2 linked regions of the Saccharomyces cerevisiae S288C genome follow. The protein of the gene in region 1 interacts with the protein of each later gene in a pairwise test. Each region holds a gene or a part of one and is shown in the gene's direction. Other genes may lie near its edges. The genes, in order: GID7 and GID8.

Evidence for each region.
Region 2: the proteins of GID7 (region 1) and GID8 interact in binary tests that used the Saccharomyces cerevisiae proteins (3 or more experiments, as listed by UniProt).

The regions. Positions count from the first base shown.
Region 1 is NC_001135.5:50,685-55,419, forward strand, and holds GID7 (glucose-induced degradation complex subunit GID7), read left to right. Parts: upstream 1-1,960; coding exon 1,961-4,198; downstream 4,199-4,735. Other genes in the region: YCL042W (uncharacterized protein), read left to right, coding at 1-259; GLK1 (glucokinase), read left to right, coding at 154-1,656; ATG22 (Atg22p), read right to left, coding at 4,257-4,735.
Region 2 is NC_001145.3:537,979-541,801, reverse strand, and holds GID8 (glucose-induced degradation complex subunit GID8), read left to right. Parts: upstream 1-1,745; coding exon 1,746-3,113; downstream 3,114-3,823. Other genes in the region: GAT2 (Gat2p), read right to left, coding at 1-603; ERG29 (Erg29p), read right to left, coding at 3,251-3,823. UniProt on the Saccharomyces cerevisiae protein: Component of the GID E3 ligase complex recruiting N termini and catalyzing ubiquitination of proteins targeted for degradation.

The DNA.
Region 1 (4,735 bases):
GTGGTGTCACACCACGCTCAAACGGTGGGCACTAATGAAAACGCGCCCATATAAATATCCGCTATCAACAGAACCCCCAACCCCCCCATCAGTGCCCAACTCAGCTTCCGTAAACCACAACACCACCACTAATACAACTCTATCATACACAAGATGTCATTCGACGACTTACACAAAGCCACTGAGAGAGCGGTCATCCAGGCCGTGGACCAGATCTGCGACGATTTCGAGGTTACCCCCGAGAAGCTGGACGAATTAACTGCTTACTTCATCGAACAAATGGAAAAAGGTCTAGCTCCACCAAAGGAAGGCCACACATTGGCCTCGGACAAAGGTCTTCCTATGATTCCGGCGTTCGTCACCGGGTCACCCAACGGGACGGAGCGCGGTGTTTTACTAGCCGCCGACCTGGGTGGTACCAATTTCCGTATATGTTCTGTTAACTTGCATGGAGATCATACTTTCTCCATGGAGCAAATGAAGTCCAAGATTCCCGATGATTTGCTAGACGATGAGAACGTCACATCTGACGACCTGTTTGGGTTTCTAGCACGTCGTACACTGGCCTTTATGAAGAAGTATCACCCGGACGAGTTGGCCAAGGGTAAAGACGCCAAGCCCATGAAACTGGGGTTCACTTTCTCATACCCTGTAGACCAGACCTCTCTAAACTCCGGGACATTGATCCGTTGGACCAAGGGTTTCCGCATCGCGGACACCGTCGGAAAGGATGTCGTGCAATTGTACCAGGAGCAATTAAGCGCTCAGGGTATGCCTATGATCAAGGTTGTTGCATTAACCAACGACACCGTCGGAACGTACCTATCGCATTGCTACACGTCCGATAACACGGACTCAATGACGTCCGGAGAAATCTCGGAGCCGGTCATCGGATGTATTTTCGGTACCGGTACCAATGGGTGCTATATGGAGGAGATCAACAAGATCACGAAGTTGCCACAGGAGTTGCGTGACAAGTTGATAAAGGAGGGTAAGACACACATGATCATCAATGTCGAATGGGGGTCCTTCGATAATGAGCTCAAGCACTTGCCTACTACTAAGTATGACGTCGTAATTGACCAGAAACTGTCAACGAACCCGGGATTTCACTTGTTTGAAAAACGTGTCTCAGGGATGTTCTTGGGTGAGGTGTTGCGTAACATTTTAGTGGACTTGCACTCGCAAGGCTTGCTTTTGCAACAGTACAGGTCCAAGGAACAACTTCCTCGCCACTTGACTACACCTTTCCAGTTGTCATCCGAAGTGCTGTCGCATATTGAAATTGACGACTCGACAGGTCTACGTGAAACAGAGTTGTCATTATTACAGAGTCTCAGACTGCCCACCACTCCAACAGAGCGTGTTCAAATTCAAAAATTGGTGCGCGCGATTTCTAGGAGATCTGCGTATTTAGCCGCCGTGCCGCTTGCCGCGATATTGATCAAGACAAATGCTTTGAACAAGAGATATCATGGTGAAGTCGAGATCGGTTGTGATGGTTCCGTTGTGGAATACTACCCCGGTTTCAGATCTATGCTGAGACACGCCTTAGCCTTGTCACCCTTGGGTGCCGAGGGTGAGAGGAAGGTGCACTTGAAGATTGCCAAGGATGGTTCCGGAGTGGGTGCCGCCTTGTGTGCGCTTGTAGCATGATCTTTTTACATTTTTTTGGTTTGTGTACGTATCCCACCGTACTTACCATCTTCTCTCCTTTATATATATATATATATATGTATATTTTCAGTGTATATACATACATTCTTATACAATACCGTATAAGAACGTATGTATGTATGTATGATTTTCTCACATTAATGAACAATATCATCGGAAACGGGCCTTTGGTTTTTAAGGGAAAATGAAGAACAATAAATGCCTTGCTAGGTCTTCCTTTATCATTTTTGGAAGTCAAATATGAAAAACACTTCCAAGGGGGCGTACTACTTCAACTAATAAAATGTCACACACTAATAAGATCGCATACGTGTTGAACAATGACACGGAGGAAACAGCCTCGCCCTCTTCCGTTGGTTGTTTTGACAAGAAACAGCTCACTAAATTACTGATACATACTCTAAAGGAGCTGGGCTACGACTCCGCCGCTAACCAGTTACTGCTAGAGAGCGGCGGATATCAAAATGAGTCTAACCACATCCAGACTTTCTTCAAACTCATCAAGACCGGCCAATTCCATCTTATTAATTGGCAGATTGTTTGCTCGCTGCCCCTTGCCCATAGCTCTCCGCTAAGGTCCGAATGGCTTCAAAGGCTGCTCATTCCCACGCCGACGCCCGCCACGACTTCACTTTTCGACCACATGCTCCTGCAACTGCAATACCTGCAACAGCTGATGAGCTCTGTAAATTCATCTACTTGTTCGGACGCAGAGATCGCCACGCTCAGAAATTACGTAGAGATCATGATTCTAGTTAATAGACAAATATTCCTCGAATTCTTCCATCCAGTCACAAATTCCGCCTCTCACAAGGGCCCTCACACTGCACTGCCCGTCCTGTATTTGCGCAAAATCCTCAAAAACTTCATCGAGATATGGGATTCCCTGCTGGTGTCTAACGATCAGTTCCTAAATGAAGAAAACATCTTCAATCCGGAAACGACCTTGAGAGAACTGTCGACGTACCTGACCAACCCAAAACTAACCGCGCAGTTGAACCTCGAGCGAGACCATCTGATTGACGCCATCTCCAAATATATCGATCCGAACGAACTCGTTCCCAAGGGTCGTCTCTTGCATCTCTTGAAACAGGCCATCAAGTATCAACAATCACAAGACATTTTTAATATCATCGATCCGGATGATGACGCCTCTTTCTCCTCTCCACCCCACCGGATCAACCTTTTGCAGGATAACTTCTCACACGATCTGACTGTGACCTTTCAAGAATGGAAGACTATCCAAGACACCACAGACGAAATTTGGTTTTTGACATTTTCGCCCAATGGCAAGTATTTGGCTTCTGCGACTTCCGAGTCTTCAAGAGGCTACTTCATTACTGTTTATGATGTGGAACAAGACTTCAAAATTTATAAGACTTGCGTGAGCTTGTCACAATCCGTATTGTACCTCATGTTTTCTCCTGATAGCCGGTATCTGGTTGCTTGCCCTTTCAGCGAAGATGTTACCATTTACGACATGAATGCCACCTCCCTGCCCGATGCGTCTGCCACAGACTCGTTCCTACTATACCCTTCTACCAGGCTCTCGCCCATGGACTCGTTTAAACTGGACACCACCACGTACCCAGATGATACCGAATCATCAGCATCATCTTCCTCGAGGCCGGCAAACGCGAATTCTAATCAATCAAGAGTATGGTGCTGCGATGCCTTCCACACTGCGGAACGTGCGGGCTGGATGGTGGTTGGATCGCCCGACAGAGAAGCTATTGTACACTCACTCACCACGAAAGAGTCACTTTTTAGCTTAAAAGGCAGGACTTGTATCGCGTTGGGCCACGATGAAAACATCTCTGGGAGAAAATCAATCGATCCTGCAAAAGTCCTTTACAAACCAACAAGTAGCAATGGTAACTGGCAATATGTGGAGGACGACGAAACCTTTCCACGTGTGCACGACGTGAAAATCAGCTATGACGATAAATACGTGCTTTTAATGACCCACCAGGGCGTTATAGATGTCTACGATTTCAGTGGGTTCCCCTCCAAAGAGGAGCTATCTAAGCAAACAGTGGATCCCAAAAACTTTCTGATTCCAAGGATCGCAAGATTGGACGTGGGCAAAAACATGACTTGTATCTCATTACCGCTAAATACCACGCATCAAGGCTTCCATAGGCAACAAATATCCGAGTCTCAACATTTGGTATTAGTTAGCCTTCAAGATAACGAATTACAAATGTGGGACTATAAAGAAAATATTCTCATACAAAAGTACTTTGGACAGAAGCAACAGCACTTTATTATCAGATCTTGCTTCGCCTACGGTAATAAGCTTGTCATGAGCGGATCAGAAGATGGTAAAATTTACATTTGGGATAGAATTAGAGGTAACCTAGTATCTGTTTTATCCGGTCATTCCACGGTAATGAGTAATTCCACAAAACCCATGGGGAAAAATTGTAACGTAGTTGCATCAAACCCTGCAGATAAAGAAATGTTTGCTTCTGGCGGTGATGACGGTAAGATAAAAATCTGGAAAATTTCAAGAAATTAATACTCCACCTTATATATATACGTAAGCAAAGTTTTATGTAACAAAAAAAAAAAAAGAACTAATCCAACCTTCTTTCACTTTCAGGTAAAACTTGACTGAGTTCTTCAGCCTCTCTTCTACCTCTCTTGACATCCAAACAGTTTAGCACAGGCAATGATAGCATCAAAAGCAAAAAGAAGAAATAAAACGAATAGCGAATATTATGCGTTTTATCGGTAAGCAGTCCAACAAGGAAGGGTCCCAGGATGGACGACCCCTTATCTGTGATACTGAACATACTAAAAAACGTGGATTCTTTTCCTGGAGGTACAATCAAACTGAAAACTGATCTTGAAACCGCGGACAGGCCACCTAGTGATAATCCATACCAAATGGCCAATAAGAACATTTCAAACTTATGCTTTAAACCGAACGCATTGAAGAAAAATCCAAGAATACCATAAAATGGTATGAAACTTGCCCAAATGATAATGTACATCAAAGTTTGACTAGAAGTCCACCGAAACTTTGTGGCAAGAAATTGTGGAATCATAAAGG
Region 2 (3,823 bases), on another chromosome or scaffold:
AATTTCATGACAGGAACGTTCATCAATATTGTCCAGCACTTCATTCTGATTCGAGTTTACGGGTTTATCGTTATTAATGTTATCAGTACCAATGCCATTATTGGTTTTATTGTAAACTGGTACTTGTTGGAAATGAATATCAGTAGCAACAGGAGCATGCATTTGAGGGTGAATATTATTTAGCTGAAAGTGAGAAATATTGGGCGGCATGTGGGGATCCGGTATGATGCTGACCAGCCGCTGAGGAGCAGAAGGAATTTGGTGTGTATTTCTATAATGTGAGTTGTTGGATATTTGAATATTAACGGCGGGAAGAACAGAATTAATGTTGTTATTTTTTATAGTGTTGTTACTATGGTTGTTGTTATCATTATTGTTGGGATGATGATAGTAGTATGCGTAGTTGTTGTTTGCGCTGTTTATATGGGCATTCGGTCCATTATAATGCTGCAAGGGTAATGGAGAATTTATAGTTACAGTAGAATGCAAAGGATCTACTCTCGGAGCAGAATGGTCAAAAACAAGTTGTGGAGGACCGTATGTGAACCCGGGCAGTGCTTGTGGCTGTGTTTGAGAGAAGGGGTAGATATTGGGGGCTTGCATCTCGATGAAATTTTTTGAGACAAGTCGTAAAAGCCCTTTATTAAAGTGAAAACAAACAATTCACTATGAACGAAAACAATATTAGAGCAAAGGAAATCACTAAAAGTAGATGGAGAAAATAAAAAAACGCCGTGAACGGAAATAGAAGAAATATGAGGGGACGCAAGGAAGTAAAAGGACCAGGAAAGAAAAAATCCTCCTTCAATATATACCAAGATATACAAGAAACTGAAACTCAAAAAATAACTTTTATACAAGATTGCCGACACGAAGAAAGGAAACGATAGCCGAATGTCTTAATGCAATAACAACTGCATTAACAATTAAGCAAATTTAGGAAATTTGCTTATAACCTTATATTTCAAAATAACCGTTGAGTTTTAGCTTTTGCACAATTCCGCGCCGGGCCCCGCGCAGGGAAAATCGCAGCAGCCGGAAAAACCGCCATCCAGCACCTTCAGTTGGGGAAAGCAAAGCAACCGAACGAAACTATATCTGAGATAAGGGCGGTGCAAAAAGAATGTGAAACCACGCTTGAAAAATGAAGTCACGGTTACACTATCTCCAACTCTGCAGGGTACAGTGCTTCTGATCGTGCATCCTTTTGTGGTCTGGACCAGCGTCGACGCGGCGACAGAAGTAGCGATGTTTCGCAGTGATAGACGCGTAGCGGTACAGGCCTGCGGCGGCTGTTGTGCGGTGACGTGCCCATGACTCAACAAAAAAATAAAAATAAGCAAACGGAAAAACCATATTAGTTCCCCTTTCTGCTGCTCCTACTCCTGTGCGTTTTCTCTTGCGCTCCTTTTTTCCCTGTTTTATTTTTTTTGTGTTTTTCGCTCGGCTTGGGTTTGTGTGTACGGCCCTTTTTGGGATCCCGGAGTTTATTTGACTGTTGTCCGGATCCGTTCCGAGTGAATGGTAATCGCTCCATTGTGTTGCTGTTTATCACTATCAGTGTCGATCTCGCTTTCCTGACTCTGCCGGCGCGGTGCCCCGGTTCGTTGCAGGAGACATTTTGATGGTACATCATTTTTCTTGAAGCTAACATGTGTAATTTGGTCATTAAATTGCAAGCAAAGGGGCAGTAGAGACAAATATCAGCCGGATGAAGATATATTTGTGTGTGGTAACAAATAGAAATGACTATATCTACTCTTAGTAACGAGACCACGAAGAGCGGATCTTGCAGCGGCCAAGGCAAGAATGGTGGGAAAGACTTTACGTATGGAAAGAAGTGCTTCACGAAGGAAGAATGGAAGGAGCAGGTGGCCAAGTATTCTGCCATGGGCGAGCTATATGCAAATAAGACAATACATTATCCGCTGAAAATTCAGCCCAACAGCAGTGGCGGCTCGCAGGACGAGGGATTTGCTACCATACAGACCACACCCATAGAGCCCACACTGCCACGGCTTCTGTTGAACTACTTTGTTTCTATGGCATATGAAGACTCGAGCATTAGGATGGCCAAGGAGCTGGGATTTATACGGAACAACAAAGACATTGCGGTTTTCAATGATTTGTACAAGATCAAGGAGCGTTTCCATATCAAACATCTTATTAAGCTGGGGCGTATCAATGAGGCGATGGAGGAGATAAACTCTATCTTCGGGCTGGAGGTGCTGGAAGAGACTTTCAATGCTACGGGAAGTTATACGGGTAGAACTGACAGGCAGCAGCAGCAGCAGCAGCAGCAGTTTGACATAGATGGAGATTTACACTTCAAACTGCTGTTACTGAATTTGATCGAGATGATAAGAAGTCACCATCAACAGGAGAACATCACCAAGGATTCCAACGACTTTATACTCAATCTAATTCAGTATTCTCAAAATAAACTTGCAATAAAGGCTTCGTCAAGTGTCAAAAAGATGCAAGAGTTAGAATTAGCAATGACTCTGCTGCTTTTCCCCTTGTCAGATTCGGCGGACAGCGGCAGCATTAAGCTGCCCAAATCGTTACAAAATCTGTACTCGATATCTCTAAGATCTAAGATAGCAGATCTGGTTAATGAGAAGCTGCTGAAGTTTATTCATCCAAGGATTCAATTTGAGATCAGCAATAATAATTCCAAATTTCCAGATTTGTTAAATTCCGACAAGAAAATAATTACGCAGAACTTCACGGTGTATAACAACAATCTCGTCAATGGTTCAAATGGTACAAAAATAACTCACATTTCGTCTGACCAACCTATCAACGAAAAGATGTCAAGCAACGAGGTCACGGCTGCTGCTAATTCAGTTTGGCTAAATCAAAGGGATGGAAATGTTGGCACAGGTTCAGCGGCGACAACTTTTCATAACTTAGAAAATAAAAATTACTGGAATCAAACTTCTGAATTGCTTTCCTCTTCAAATGGAAAGGAAAAAGGTTTAGAATTCAATAATTACTACTCTTCCGAATTTCCCTATGAACCAAGATTGACGCAGATAATGAAACTGTGGTGTTGGTGCGAAAATCAGCTTCATCACAACCAAATAGGGGTTCCTAGGGTCGAAAACTGACATACATAGTACGTATATATTTATATATGTGTGTGTGCGTGTGCATGTGTGAGTGAGTGTGTGTGTGTGTGTGTGTGTGTGCCTACCTGCATGTATGCATTTAGCAATTGATTTTTCTTTTTTTTTTTTGGAAGCTTTCATAGTATGAATTCGCATTTTATCGTGTTTCCCGTATCAATCTTCAGGAAACATAATTGAACATCATCGATATTCAATGGCAGTAGTTCATCTTTATGATTGTAAATTTTGACACCGTTGGAAATCGTAAACTTTCTTGCCCCTTCACCGCCCTCATTCTTAATTATATCGCGATATATTTCGCAATCTTTAAAGTAGTGGTAAAGTCTCAGCCTCAATACACGCAAGGTAGTACCAAACTCAGGTCTTTTTTCATTTTCATAATCCTCTGGAGAAAATTCAACATGAAATTTTAATGGGGTGGACAGAAGTTCTTTCCCATCTACAATAACATTACATTCGACATCCAATTCTGATACAAACACAGGTTTTGCAAAAAACTTATCGCGATCTTCGAACTCTTCAATAACAATACCGCTTTTCTCGTCTTTGTATTCTTTACCGTGATATTCATCACTCACCAACATCCGATGAAGCTTCAGACTTTCATCGATTCTTCCACGCTCTAGTTCTTCTGATGTGTTCTTTTGTAGAAGACTCATTTCGATCGTTATATACAGTTCGTTAAAAAA